2 linked regions of the Pelodiscus sinensis genome follow. The protein of the gene in region 1 interacts with the protein of each later gene in a pairwise test. Links are inferred from orthologs where the notes say so. Each region holds a gene or a part of one and is shown in the gene's direction. Other genes may lie near its edges.

Region 1 (8,016 bases):
TGGCTTGTAATCTACTCACTATGGGCGAGTAAATTACATTAATTGTGGAGCCCTATATATATATATATATACACTCACACACACACAGGGCTTGACAAACTATAGAATCTACTCGCCCGTGGTGAGTAGATTTCAGCTGCACGCCCCGTTTACTGGTGGCGTGCGCATGCGCAATGCGGCTCTTGAGAGCAGCTTTCTCCGCTGTTTGTCAAGCCTTATATATATATTACAGGTTAATATGCATATGTACACAACATAGGATGCCAGCACTGAGACAGATGCTATGGAATCTACCAAAAATTGCCATAGTGTAGAATTAATGTTAAGAATAATTACAGAAATATCCTCCGTCTTTCTAAGGCCCTGGTTCAGAAAAGCAGTACTTCAGCACAGCATTTGTGCATGTGCTTAAGTTCTACCTAAGTCAAATTAACCATATGCTTCAGCCATATGTTCCTCAACTGGGACCTAACGGTAAATTTTCCAAAAATGCATAAGGATATATCTACCCTGCTATATAAGCCCAGGGTTTGAACTTGGGTTCAAGCCTAACCCCTTTTCTGTCTTAACACTAATCATGACAACCCAAGACTTGGACTCAGGGTCACAGGACCTCTCAGGTGTGGAGGGTCTAAGCCTGAGTCAAGCTAGTTCAAGCCCTATTGCTTTGCAATATTGATGTTGCTTTCAATCTATCCTGAAAATAATTATCTGCACAATTATCTGAATTTGTGCTTTTGGGCTATGTCTACACTGAAAGGTTTTTGCGCAAAAGAGCTGGTTTTGGCGCAAAAACCGGTGGAGCATCCACACCTCAAGTGTATTTTTACACAAGTAAATCAGCAGAACAGAGGGCTTTTGCTGGTAGAATTATTCCTCTCCCCACGAGAAATAACTCCTTTTTGCGCTACAGCTCTTGCGCAAAAAGGCAGGTGTGGACACTTCAGAGGGGTTTTTGCACAAGAAACTCCTATTGGCAAAAGCACAAGTGCTCTGATGGCCATTCTGTGACCATGCAGTGTAGACACTCCTACACAAACGCACATCGCTTTTGCAATGCGCTTTGAGATCTGGACACGCTTTTGCGCAAGAAGGTTTTGCGGAAGCTCTCTTCCACAAAAGGCTTCTTGCGCAGAACCCTGCAGTGTAGGCAAAGCCTTGGAGTCCACCAACAGACCTACACGCCAACTTTCTTTATGCTTTGGACTATCACATTTCCCCTCATAGACCATGAACAAAGGGCTAGAGTGGTCACAATTTGGAGAGGTGCTAGGAAGTACGGCATACGGATAGTTGGACTTGGGCCCTCATAATCAGTGTAGGTGCTGCAGCCCCAGGTTGGATCCGAGGGCTCAGGAATCCCTAACTTGGGGTTACAAATGAATGTAGACACTCAAGCCCTTGTTTAACAAATCCAGGGTCTGCTAACTCAAGTTCTATTAACCTAGGGCTTATTGCTGCAATGTAGATGTACCCTCAGTGACTCTGGATATTCCTGTACTGCAGTAGGACACCTGAGGTCTGTATCAGCTGACATCCATTTGTGGGGTTTGGGTTTCAGGGCTATACAGTTGGGCTACGTCTACACTGGCCCCTTCTCCGGAAGAGGCATGCTAATTTCTAACTTTGGAATAGGGAAATCCGCGGGGGATTTAAATATCCCCCGCGGGATTTAAATAAACATGTCCGCTGCTTTTTTTCCGGCTTGGGGAAAAGCTGGAAAAGAGCGTCCAGACTGGCGCAATCCTCCGGAATAAAGCCCTTTGCCGGAGGATCTCTTATTCCTACTTGAAAGTATAAAGCCTACTTGAAAGTAGGAATAAGAGATCCTCCGGAAAAGGGCTTTATTCCGGAGGATCGCACCAGTCTGGACGCTCTTTTCCGGCTTTTCCCCAAGCCGGAAAAAAAGCGGTGGACATGTTTATTTAAATCCCGCGGGGGATATTTAAATCCCCCACGGATTTCCCTATTCCAAAGTTAGAAATTAGCATGCCTCTTCCGAAGAAGGGGCCAGTGTAGACACAGCCTTGCAATGTAGACATCTGATCTCTGGTAGGAGCCTGGCTCTGAGCCCCTTTCATCTCGTGCGGTCCCAGACCCTAAGCTCCAGCCCAAGCCCGAATATCTACTCTGCAGTCTACTTTCATAACTCCAAAAGCTGATGAGCCACAGTCAACTGATGTGGGCAAGATGTGGGTGTTTTATTTGCAGAGTACCAAACAGCTTTGCCTCACTCCTTGTCTGAGGACCTGGCCCTGCCTTCCCCTTCTCTGAGGCTCTGCCCCCTGCTCACTCCCGTCTACTCTCCCTCCCTCTCTCCCACCCTCACTCACTTTCACCAGGACAGGACAGGAGGTTGGGGTGCAAAAAGGGCGTGTGCATGCTCTGGGGTGAGGCAAGAAATGAAGATTTTGAGCTGGACTGCAGTGTGGTGCTGAGAGGTTCAGAGTGTGGGAGCGTGCTCCGTGCAGGAGGGGCCGCAGGCTCTGGTAGGGAGTTTGGGTGCGTGAGGGGGTTCAGGGCTGGGACAGGAGTCTGGGACATGGGAGAGGGTTCAGAGAGAAGGCTCAGGTCGGTGTTCATCTCAGGTGGCTCCTGGAATTGGTGTCATCTCTCTCAGGCTCCTAGGAGGAAGTGTGGCCAGGTGGCTCATACACTGCCTCTGCCTGCAGGTGCTGCCGTCTCAGCTTCTATTGGCCATGGTTCCCAACCAGTGGGAGCTACAGAGCTGATGCACGGGATGGAGGGAGCCCCCTATGTCTTCCCTCTGCCTAGGAGCCAGAGGGAGATGCCGGCACTTCTCAGGAGCTATGAGGAGTTGGGCAGGCATGCTACCTGCCTTGCTGCAGGTGGCCAACCATACTTTAAATGGCCTGGTCAGCGGTGCCACGAGGGTCCCTTTTCAAGCTGGTGTTCCAATCAAAAACCGGACACCCCGGCAACCCTCTGTTTGATTGCAGTGTAGGCATACTCTTTGAGGACAGATTTTCAAAGCTAGATGGGCATCTATTGGTTCAGATCAGCACTTTGGAAAATCCCACTAGACCCTAAGCAAGTTAGACACCAAACTTGCATAAATGTCAAGAGGACTTGAGCACTCTTGAAAATTTTCCCTATGCTAAGTCAGAAGCCCCACTCGGGCTCAACAGGGCTCACACTTGAAAATCACTTAGGAGCTTTTGAACATGCCATCCTCAGTATCTGGCAGGAGACTAGTTTAAAAGTCAACAGTTTTTGTTACAATTTCCACCCATAGGAGGTGGAAGGTGCAAGGCAGTGCTGCAAGGAAGGATCTATGTAACCTTGAACTGCACTGTGAAACATATTCTGTTGCAACTGTCAGAAAGCAGCAGTAATACCTCCTTCATCCTGCGAATTCCTCCTGAAGCTGATGAGTAAATGAAGGACTGAGGCCACAGAGGCTACATCTAGACTGCAAGCCTTTTTCAAAAGATACTTTTGAAAAAGCCTCTTTCAAAAAAGAGTGGCTAGACTACACCCAGTACTTTTGAAAAAGCAAGCTTTTTCAAAAGAGAGCACCCATGCAGTCTGGATGCTCTCTTTCAAAAAAGCACAGTTTGCATTACATAGCATCTTTTTTTCAAAGGAGCACTTTAAAAAAAAAGGCATTATGCCTCGTGAAACAAGGTTTTCCGTGATCTAAAAAACTGCTGCATTCTTTCAATTTACTTTCGCAAGAACATGGCAGCAGTCTAGACTCAGGGTACGTTTTTTTCAAAAAAAGGCCATTTTTTCTGAAAAAAACTCTGTAGTCTGGACACACCCTGATTGATCACACGGTCACAAACTTAACTCCTTTCATGTGAGAAAGACCTGCTGTATGCTTCCTTCCACTGTTCAGGTTTGCCCTGAAAAGGGGCTATTGTATAAGAGTTATAGTTTTGTAAGTACTAGCCTAGTGGAATAAAAACACAGGTAGTTTTACAAGCAATAATGAAACAGGAGCATTATTACATTTTTAATTTTAAACCCATGTATGCAGGACTGGCCTTACCATGAGGCAAACTGAGGTGGCCGCTTCAGGTGCCAGATTGTGGGGGGCGGGGGGCTCCACTAGGACACAGAGTGTAGAAAATTGTGTCTGCTGCTGGTGCATATGTATTCCATCTGCAGTACCATGAGAGGAGTAGAAGAGGAACAAGGCAGAATTGAGACCTTTCAAAGTTTTGGCCAAAGCGAGGAGACATGGGGGTGTCATTTGAGCTCCCCGCCTCAGGTGCCAAAATGTTGTGGGCCGGCCCTGCATGTATGTTTACAGTTAGTAAAGATGTGGCAAAGGGAGATATATGATTGGAGGAACTCAGGGTATGTCTACACTACCACCCTAGTTCGAACTGGGGTGGTTAATGTAGTCAATCGAAGTTGCAAATGAAGCCCGGGATTTAAATATCCCGGGCTTCATTTGCATCTTGCCAGGTGCCGCCATTTTTAAATCCCCAGTAGTTCGGACTCCGTGCCCGCGGCTACACACGGCACGGAGTAGGTAGTTCGAATTAGGCTTTCGAACGAGGTGTAATGGTAGTTCGAATTAGAAAGCCTAATTCAAACTACCTACTCCATGCCGCGTGTAGCCGCGGGCACAGAGTCCGAACTACCAGGGATTTAAAAATGGCGGCGCCCAGCAAGATGCAAATGAAGCCCGGGATATTTAAATCCCGGGCTTCATTTGCAACTTTGATTGACTACATTAACCACCCTAGTTCGAACTAGGGTGGTAGTGCAGACATACCCTCAGTGTGCTTTTTGCCCTCGTGGTACACTGGATGAGATGAACATTGTAAAAAACCAGAATGGTGATCAGAAGTTTTTCTACTGAAGGAGTGAGGCTCTCCCCACGTGTTCAAGAAAAATACATGTTAGTTTGAAAAAAAAAATGAAACGGAAATAATTCCAGTATAAGATGCATGCAAGATATGATGGTAACTGTGGTACCAAAAAGGGAAGATTTTAATGAAAGGCAGAAAGGAGCCAGGTTGCCCAGCCTCCAGCATTAATTCGTGAGCACTCCAGAACAAAGACTGATTTTTAATTAAAGACTGTGTCATGTGATGTCATGTCCAGGAATATGTCCTACCAAAACTGACAACCCTAAAAGGGTCCCAAGCAGATTCCGCTTCTAGAGGGCGTAAAATATCCTTTTGCAATCACTGCCTTTGCCTATGTAAATCAGGTGTGTTACTCTGTAACTTACACATGAAAGCCCCAGGGATGTGCCCACAAATGGTTGCTTGTGCAGAATCAGAGGGCATGTTTTTGCAAACTTGGCCCTCTATGTCTTCTTTACAAAGCTACTTTGCTGCAGTGTGCCAGGGAGCATAGCTCATCCTCTCCTCTTGCAAAAGGCTGAGCAGGCTTAGTTGCTACATTGTCGCCAGTGGTGGTGGGCACACCCCGGCTTTGCCCCGCCCTGCTTCTAAGCTGAGCTTCTTCAAATTCTGGGTACACAGGGTGCTTTACGTGTGTGCCTGGCTGGGAGTGCCATGGAAGCGGAGGCAGCAGGGATGGCTGAGAAGACTACTCTGCGCACCCCCAAGTGCTCCCGCTGCCGGAACCATGGCTTTGTGGTGCCGGTGAAGGGCCACACAGGCCACTGCCGCTGGAAGCTCTGCCCCTGCGACAAGTGTGCACTCATTACAGAGCGCCAGAAGATCATGGCAGCTCAGAAGGCAATGCAGGGGCAGGACCCAGATGCCTCACCCAGGGAGAAGTCACCACCTGTGCCCTGCACCCCGGTTCATGGTAAAGGTCGGAAGGTTCCTGCAGCTGGCCCCAGCGCCTCGGACCACAGCAGCCCCGGGGGCAGGTGTGAAGGAGCCAAAACCACCCCGGCAGCCAGCAGCAGCAGCAGAGCCAGGACCCGCAGGCCAGTACCCGCTTCCAGCTCCCCACCCTTTGGGGACTTTGGTAGGGACCAGCTCAGCATTGGGGTGCCTGGCCTATAGGCCTTCACTCAAGATGATTAACTTCTATCTCTGTGTCTCTCTGTCCATCTGTGTTCATCATTCAGTGTCTGTCCATCTATTAGTGGGTATTGTTTGGTTGGTGTTTGTTCATTCATCTTCCAGGCCGATCTAGTGCCTCAGAAACTGCTAGGTCCCAGGTAAACTGTTTCCCAGAATTGCTGGAGTTGCTCTCACTCCACTTTCCCATCCTGTTTCCAGGTGGGTGTGTGTGGAATGCAATGCTGCATTTATTTTTGGTTTTGCAAAGTTTCCAAGTTGTGCCTATGGACTTTGTAGCTACAGGAACTGCCCTCAGCACCTTCTCAGCTTGTTTCCTTGTTGCAAAGATGGATTCATGCAACTAGTCCTTGTTTAACAGGGAAATGAATCAGTGACAGGAATAGAATCTTGATATTTCAATACAATACCTTGAGCTCTTTCTTCTGAGCTGTGCTATTATTTTTAAATTTACAGACATGCCCTCATGCAAAAACAAAGGAAAAAACCCCACAGAACAACAGAAAATGCAGATTAATAGGGGGATTTCTGCTGGAGTCGTCTAGAGAAGGCATTTTATAGTGGCAACATAAAAAAAGAGGACACCTCCTGGATTGGAATTTGATGTTTCACAGACTAGATTTGTCGAGAACCAGTTGGTGTAAAATTTTGTGTATTTAAGAATGGAAAATAGAATGTAGAAATGGAAAATGCATATGGTTATTTAGGCCATTACTTCTGATAGTGTTCTCTACCGTAGAGTCTTGGGTGTGCCTTGTCTAATCCATTTTTATTATTTATAGACTCCCACTGACCACAGTAGCCATTATATTTGGCCTCAGGAGAACCAGCACTCTAGCTCAGTGTTTCTCAACCAGTGGTATAAGTACCCTTACGGATACTCGAGAGAAGTCTGGGGGTTCGTCAACACAACTGAAATTTGGAGAAAATTCTTGTTTTAAGTTTTACAGCACTTTATTATTTTTGTACTTTTTACACCCAAAAATTTCATCACCCGCCCGACTACGATTAAGTTGTTTAAACAAATGTGTTGCAATGGTAGAAAAAAAAATGTGTGTGTCTGAAAACAGTAGGTACTGGGGGTACTTATAATTTTTTTTTTAAAGGGGGTACTTTATAAAAAAAAAGTTTGAGAAACACTGCTCTAGAACATACAGGCCAGATGATCTGAGAGATGGAGAGGAAGGAGTCACTTTAGATAGCTCCAGCACAGCCTCGTCTACCAACAGTTATTTAATTTTTATGCTTATGGGCCTGACAGCGGAAGTGTTTTTAGGAGTGATTTGAATGGATGAGACCTTGATACAGATATAGTCTAGTCATACATGGTGGGAACTACACTACTTTGGAAGATCACTTTGTGAACACGATTCTTTTTTAATAGCAAAATACAGTGGTTCTTTGAAAATGAACTGTAAAAATGAGAGAGACCAGGTGGTTGAGGTCAATATCTTTTATTGGACTAACTTCTGTTGATGGAGCTTTGTGTATCACAGCTCTACAGGTGACCGGAGGAAGAACTCTGTGAAGCTCAAAACTTGTCCCTTCTACCAACAGAAGTTGTTCAATAAAAGATACTTCCTCACCTGCCTTGTCTCTCTTATTTTGGGACCAACACAACAAAAATACTGCAAACAACTCTAGAAATGCCAGCTGTCACAGGGTACAGAGCTTTTTATGTCCTCTCAGTGATTTCAGTATTAAATTTCACTTCATCTGTAAGTCAAGCTGCTACCACAGGAAACTAGAAATCAAGCCGTTTGTCATACTTTTGATTGCAACAGAAGCATTAAAGATCCTGCAATCAGAAGTTTTTTGTGCATCCTGAACCAAGTTGTCAGCATAAATTTGAATCATATTTGCTCTCCCAAAATTGTATTAACCCATCTTTACAGCACCCTCCTTTCCTCCTCAATCCTAATGTTTCAATTAAAAAATAATTGAATAAGAACTGAATATAAACCCAAAGGGCCAGATTCTGCCTTAATTTACACAACTGAGGACAGAATATGGAACCATGACTCTTTCTATTAAC
Region 2 (7,254 bases), on another chromosome or scaffold:
GGACATCAGAACTGGATACACCATGGTCCAACTAATGCCTTGTAAAGTGATAATGACACTTCTCTATTTCTAAGCAATATTCTCATGTTTACAATAAACAACCATCCCTCCGCTTACACATGTAAAGTAAAGTTGCACCCCTCTTGTTTACTGGGAGTTCTCTGAGTCAGTAGAATAGTGGAGAAAGAATTCCACCTACTAATTCTTCTAGTTATAATTTAATGAAGTCTCTCACAAGGGGTAATTTAGGAAACGATGCAACTACTGGATGCGAGAATTTACTACTATAGATTAGAAAATGGTTAAGAATTAGAAAACAAAGAGTATGGCTGTAAAGTAATTTATAAAATGGAATGATATTCACAGAGAGATGCTCCAAGGATCCGTACTGGGATTGGGGATATTTACTGTGCTCACCAGTTTTTGGAAAGCATGGGTGTAAGGTCTTGTCTACACTAATCCCTGCTGTCGATCTAATCTATGTGACTTCAGCTATGCAAATAGGGTTGCCAGATGGTTTAAAAAAATACCAACCCCCTCTACCCCAAAAAAACCAGGAAAAAAATCTGTTGAGCTAAAAAAAAAAAAGGCTATGTAAATGTGTTGAGCAAAAAAAAAAAGGGACTGACCAGGGCTGAAACACAGTCATAGCCCCTTTAATTTCCAGTCTGCTCCACCCTCCCCCTGCCCTGGCCAGCCTGAGCTGACTCAACCACCCTTCCGTCCGATGCCCGAACTGGGAAAAACATGTCTGGTATTTTCTGAAGTTTTTTACCAGACAGAAGGTGCAAATACTAGGCTGTCCGGTTCAATACTGGACACCTGGCAACTCTTTATGCAAACAGTGTAGCTGAAGTCAACATACTTACCACAGCATCTTCTGTGTGATAAGGTCATTGGGAGTTGCTCTTCCATTGACTTCGGCTACTCTACTCATCCTGATGGAGTATCAGAGTTAATGGGAGAAAACACAGATTGATTTATCGCATCTAAGCAGATGTGATAAATCAATGGCCAGTGGATTAATCACTGCAGCGTTGATCCACCACGTCGTAGAGACAAGCCCTAAGCGGAGGAAGTAGGGAGGGAGAAATAGTGAGACGGCAACATCTGATCAACAATTGTTCTGGAAAGGCAAGACTAGAAAATCTTAAAAGGGGAACGGAGCAACAAGATGGCAGTTGAAATGTAGCATAGGTATGCGTGAGGTAATGCATATTGGGAGGAACAATTTGAACTACTTATATACACTGATGGTTTCTAAATTAACCACTCATGAAAAAGACTTTGGCATTACTGTGGACAGCTCAATGGAAACTTCTGCTCAGTGCACAGCAGTGGTCAAAAAAAGCAAATCAGATGTTAGACTGTTTTAAAAACTGGATAGAGAACAATACTGAAAATAGTAGACCACATTAAAATAAATCAATAGGACCTGCTCCTTTTAAAAAAAAGTTAGTTCAATTCTGGTCACATTATCTAGGTATGAAAAATATACAGGCAGTCCCTGGGTTACATGGATCCAACTTACATCGGATCCCTACTTACAAACGGGGTGAGGCAACCCCGCACTAGCTGCTTCCCCCCAGCAGAGCAGGGAGACGCGAAGCTAGCGCCCCCCTCCCAGCAGACCAGGGAGACGCGTAGCGGCTTTTCTCAGCAGACACCTCAGCTTGAGAATAAAGGACTGAGGGAAGTGAGGTGTGGGAGAATAAAACTGAGCTCTGGAGAAATGTTTGGCTAGAGTTTCCCCTACAATATGTACCAGTTCCGACTTACATACAAATTCAACTTAAGAACAAACCTACAGTCCCTATCTTGTACGTAACCCGGGGACTGCCTGTACAGCAGAAATAGGAATGGCCTGGGAAAGGGCAATGAAAATTATTACACGCATGAACAAACTTCTGTAAAGGGCCAGGTTTTTAAAGGATACCAAATCTGAGGCATTCAAAAGTAAGACTGCTTTTGTAAATATGGCCCATAACCTCCTGACACTTCTATTTACCAATTTTTAAAATGGGGTTAGTGATACTTACTTGTTTTTGTGACACACTTTGAGATTTATGGATGAAAAGTTATATAAATTATCATTATTATAAATAACTATTATTAATGACAAGTTAGAAAACCTGAAAGTAAAGACCATTTTGCATGGGAAAAAAATGAAAAGCCCGAGGCTTCAGTTTGTGTCTTAGTACAGAGCCTTATGTTAATTTTAGGTATTAATTCAGGTAGTCAGCTTCTAAGTTAATGACCACACATGCCTCGTTGAAAAATTGACCCGTGGCTTCTAGCCAGCAATATCCTCCCACCTCCTTGGTTGCTGTAGTAGATATACTTGCTATAAATAGCTGTCAGATTTGTAAACTGAACAGTGTTTAGTCTAAGTGAGGAAAGCGGGAACTGCATCTGTCCGGCAATGGAGTGGGTGTGGTTTGAGACAGCGTTGTTTTCTGCTGAGGATTTTTGTTTTTATTACCAAACCCTGCTATGCGTGGAGGATGTCACAAAGTCCTTCTGTCCCCCTTCTCCCCAGGCAATGAAACTGGAAGGGGAAAAAATGAATCAACGCAGTTTTATATAACTTACCAATATGTTTAGCATTTTCTGTACAGAGGGGAGCCAGTCAGAATGTGTAATTGTTTCTATAGAGAACTTAATTTTATTAATCCGAGGTTTGCTATGTTCTAGGCTTGTCCAGATCAGGGACAGACTGTGTCCTTGCCACATGACTCATACATCCTAAGCCCAATAAAATGTATAAAAAAATTGAAGTTATTCAGTGAAATGGCATTATTGTCCCCTTATAGAGAAGCATATGGGATAGTGGTTTGAGTATAGGACTGAGAGCCAGGAATGACTTAATTCTCGTTCAGACACACTCAAGCTGTCTGTGGTCTTAAGTCATTCGGGGATAGATTTTGACTAGTTTAATGGGACTGTGTCGGGGAGGAGGGTTGAGAAAAGGCCCTCTCCATGCAGCTGCTTCATGGTTCACTGGATTGTGTCTGGAACACAAGGAGAAGAGGAAGGCGCTATGTCTGAGTCTACCCCAAGCAATTGGGCGGGAAGAGGGAGACATAGTTGGCACAAGAGGGTAGTAAGGTGCACCTTCAAGAAGGGTGAAATATCTTGCTGGCCCATCTACTCAGAGCCAGAAGAGAGTAATACAGGAATTCAGTCCTACATACCTCTCCTTACTCGGGGGTCTGAGCAGACAGGTCCTTTGTCTTGCTTTTCCCTTGGTAGTTATGATGAGGATTGACTGGTTAATAACTGTAAAGTGCTCTGAAAATGAAAAGCCCGAAGTATTATCTCGGGGGGAGAAGGGGATAGATAAGTTTTTCTCACACAAAAGCATGTCTGAATAAAAACTAGCTGACTGCATAACCATTAAAATAGCAGGGGAATTTGCAATCCTCTCAAATCAAGCCACCCTCTCAGTAAGGCTACGATAACAGTGGCATTTGCACCTCCTTTATAATGATCGGTTCCACACAGAGGGAAGTCTCAGCTCCCTTTATTTGCTTTAGGTTGATGTCCCCCTCCCCTTGAGCCAAACTCTGCTATCAACTATACAGACTTTATTTCCCAAAGAACAGCCCCCTGAAGGCCTTTCAGACCTTATGAAAGGAGTTTTCACTCAAGTTAAAAGAGAACTGTGTGTTCTCTTGCTGTTTCTCTCTCTGTATGTGTGCTTTGTAAAAAGAGTTATAAATTAATCATTTCAACTTTGGGCAAGGAGTCTAGGTGTTGTATTTGTAGCCTGCACTTACATAAACACAGCAAGGGACAGTTAACTAATGAGTGGCTGGAGTGAGAAATGGAAGCTCTAAGACTATCTAAAACATTTAAACATATTTTCCACATAGGAGACCATGCGGTTGTTGCCTTTGCTTTCTTACAACAGAGACAAGTCAGTAAAAGTCCAAAGGAAAGACTGAGGTTTTACATTTCTGTTTGTGGTACAGGAAAAGGGTTACGATCTCAGTGGTTGATTCAGTGAAATAACATCTCCTTTATACACATCTGCCTAGCAAGTAGGGCGGTATTTGGAAATACCCAGGCTATAGCATTAAAGATTTGCTGGCAAATAGCAAAGGGATTTTCTGCCGAGGAAAAATTGTTATATTGAGTAGTCACTTTGCATGCTTAGGAGTTAACAGACAAATACCAAACAGCCTGGACTTACAGGGTATTTTTTATTTTGTAAAGTACTTAACATACTGTGAAGTGGCTCAGCTGCATTTTTTACATCCAAGATGTGACAGCAATGATTCTAAACAAGAAGATACAGTTGTTATTTGACTATGGTAAGTAATATCTTTATACCAAACTTTTTGGATCTCACTAATGTTCATTCTGAAGATGCAAATATGTTTCATTTACAAAGTGTTTTTCTTTGACAATTTAGATGAGAAAAGTAAATAGATAAAATGTAAAACCAGGGCAATTCTTCCTATATGAATTCTGTGCTTTTGCTTTTCCATTCTGTAATGCATATCTCATTTTACAGTGATAAGAGGGAGTTGGAATGAAATAGATGCTTATCTTTGGTTGTTGTTTGATAAATAGTCTCATGATAAAAGGGGAACATGTATATTTAGCCAGTCAGTACCTGGAAATAGGATGTTCTTACTTTGTTGGACAATATTTTCCCAGGAAAGCACATTTAAAAGTGTTACAAGCATGAAGGGACTTTCTGGCAAAGGAATCTTTCCTTAGCTGTAAAGGCCTCTTCAAGCCTATAACACTATGAGAAATACAGTAGAAACTAAACACAAAATACATCATCCACTATGCAAACAGATTTGAAAATCTATAAATTAGCCTTCTAACTAGTAATTAACCTTATTGAGGAGGATTTAGAGGAAAGATTTTTGGGAGCAGTTCTGCTAAGCTTTTGTTAAGACTCAGTGTCTTTTCCTGAGTAATTTCCGAGCCTTATTTCATGTCAACTGAGCTCTCTAGTCTACATTTTAAAATATTTTATTTTCCTTTATAGAAACTGTGCTGAAAAACACAAGCACATTTTAGCTTCTTAGAGAACAGGACAGAATTAGTATCTAATTATATCTAACCAAGCACATATGTGCAACCCCTTTTAAAATTACATTTTAATGTGATTACCTTTCACACTTTCAGAGAATACTTCCAAGCCAGCAGAGTGCAAATACACCAGCTCCCTGAGTCAGAGAGCAACGTTATCTTAGGCAGGAAATCAGTACATTGGTCCAGAAACTCAGCCTCAAATGGAAGGCATATTTGTTTAGCCATATGCTATAAGTATAATCCCTAGAACTGGAATCTTGCCAATATTATTAATGCAGAGTTCACTTGATAGTTCCATTTATTATGAGTCTTATTAGTACCCTCTTTATACAGCATAACTTTAAAGCATACCAAATAGTATATTAACTATATACTGCCAGTGGAGTGTGGCTGTAGAACTGGTATATCCAGTGCCATGATCACTCCAGTGTAAAGCAAACCTTCTGGTAATAGAAACAAAATACAGGACTTCTGGTAATACAAACTCAATGTAGAGGCTCCTCTGATACCTCTCCCTGCTGCTAGTGAAGGGGTGGTGGCTTTTGGAAAAGGGGGAGGGACAAATTATCCGCACCAATCCCTGGCTGGTGCTTTTGCTTTGTGGGGCTGTTAGCACCCAACACAGGTTGGAGCAGCTGCTCTAGTTTATGTGCAGTGCTGACCTCACATACCAGGGTTACTTTACACCAACTTTGCACCTCTAACCTCACCTCTAGCCAGGGATCTGAACCACTTTTTTACCCCTGCAGCATTTTGTATTGTTCTAGCCCATACATACATGATAGTATTAGATGCTCTGCATTTTTTGGAGTGATGACCTGTGAATTTACACCTAACAAGAAGATATTTTTAGAATATGGATGGTAATATTGGGTGGTCACTTAGTATCAAGTTGTCAAAATGGGCCTCTGCTTTGAATGTCCAGCTTAACAGAACATGATTTTTTCAGAGATGCCAAGCATCTAGAACTCCATTTGACTTCCTCTGAAGATGGGGGAGCTCCCTAACTCAGACCCAAGCCATCTCAAAGTAAACGCCCAAAAAATAGGCATCCCAATTTAGAGGACACTTTTTAAAGTTTGGCCTTAAACTCTCTATGCTACCGATCTTGTTGGTAAAATAACCTGAGATCCTCAGATGGAAGATGCAGCAGAAATACATGGTATTATTTCATTTTCAATGTTTAAAATGAAGTCACTATAGCAACACAAAAAGAATAAAATATTTTCCGTGTAGCCTCACTCTGTAAAGAAAGCATAATGATACCACTTTCCACTCTCCATGCACAGTGTGATGGGCTCTCTTCTGTGCCCCAAAATTTATGCCCAGGATCTATGGGACCAATGGGGGAAAAAATTCCTATAGTCAAGAATCCTTAACTCAGAACTTCTTGCCAATACCTTTGCTATACTTAACTCTCAGTACTGCTAGCACAGCTGATCTCAAAATGTCATGGTGGGGCAAGGGAGAGAGCCAGTCACTTGGAGGCTGGGACAATTGCATCCCTATAGGAAGCCAATAGAGTCTCAGGAGCACTGTTGTAATGCATCCTCTAGAGCCAACACTACCACTCAGCAGTTGCAACATGACATTCTGCACCTTATTATGCAGTTGCTTATTTGACACCTGTTGATGTTAGAGATTGAATCAGTTAGGTGGTAAGAACATCAGCCACTGAAGTCTTCGACACCACAAATAAAAATCACACACTCTGAGTCGCTTTATGGCTGTCATGGTATTAGAGAGCAAGGAAAGAAATGTAAATGTGAAGAGGTACAGAAAGAGCAGCTGAGTTAAATAATTTTACCTTTGCCAAGTGCACAGAATGTCAGACTCAGAACGTGGCTGCTACTAAATCCTTGCAGCTGAAATAACAACTGCTCCCCCAGATGCAGCAAATTCATCTTACCTAATCACAGACACTTAAGGGACAGGGGATTGCATAATTCCTCACCAAAGGGAGGAAATAATCAACAATGCTAATTAAAAAAAATCCTCCAATCAAAATACAGTAGAATATAGTACCTGTAGTTAGGTCTGACCCAAAGCTCCTTGAAGCTAATGGAAATCTTCCCCTGATATCAGTGAGCTCTGAAGCAGGACGGATTCCAGAACCCTCACTCAAGTGGAATAGTTTTTCACTTCTTCAGTTCTCCCATATGTTCCAGTGGGGTTACCTTAAAAGTAAGGGACTAACTT

Evidence for each region. The genes of interacting proteins can lie anywhere in the genome.
Region 2: the proteins of DMRTB1 (region 1) and IL16 interact in a two-hybrid assay, tested with the Homo sapiens proteins (2 studies listed by BioGRID). The two-hybrid records come from large-scale screens. The link is inferred for Pelodiscus sinensis from reciprocal best matches to the Homo sapiens genes DMRTB1 and IL16.

What each region holds. Positions count from the first base shown.
Region 1 is NC_134719.1:10,761,761-10,769,776, forward strand, and holds the start of DMRTB1 (doublesex- and mab-3-related transcription factor B1), read left to right. Parts: upstream 1-5,004; 5' UTR 5,005-5,501; coding exon 5,502-5,925; intron 5,926-8,016.
Region 2 is NC_134724.1:17,991,958-17,999,211, forward strand, and holds the start of IL16 (pro-interleukin-16), read left to right. Parts: upstream 1-4,150; 5' UTR 4,151-4,316; intron 4,317-7,080; exon of another isoform or gene 7,081-7,254. UniProt on the Homo sapiens protein: Interleukin-16 stimulates a migratory response in CD4+ lymphocytes, monocytes, and eosinophils. Primes CD4+ T-cells for IL-2 and IL-15 responsiveness. Also induces T-lymphocyte expression of interleukin 2 receptor. Ligand for CD4.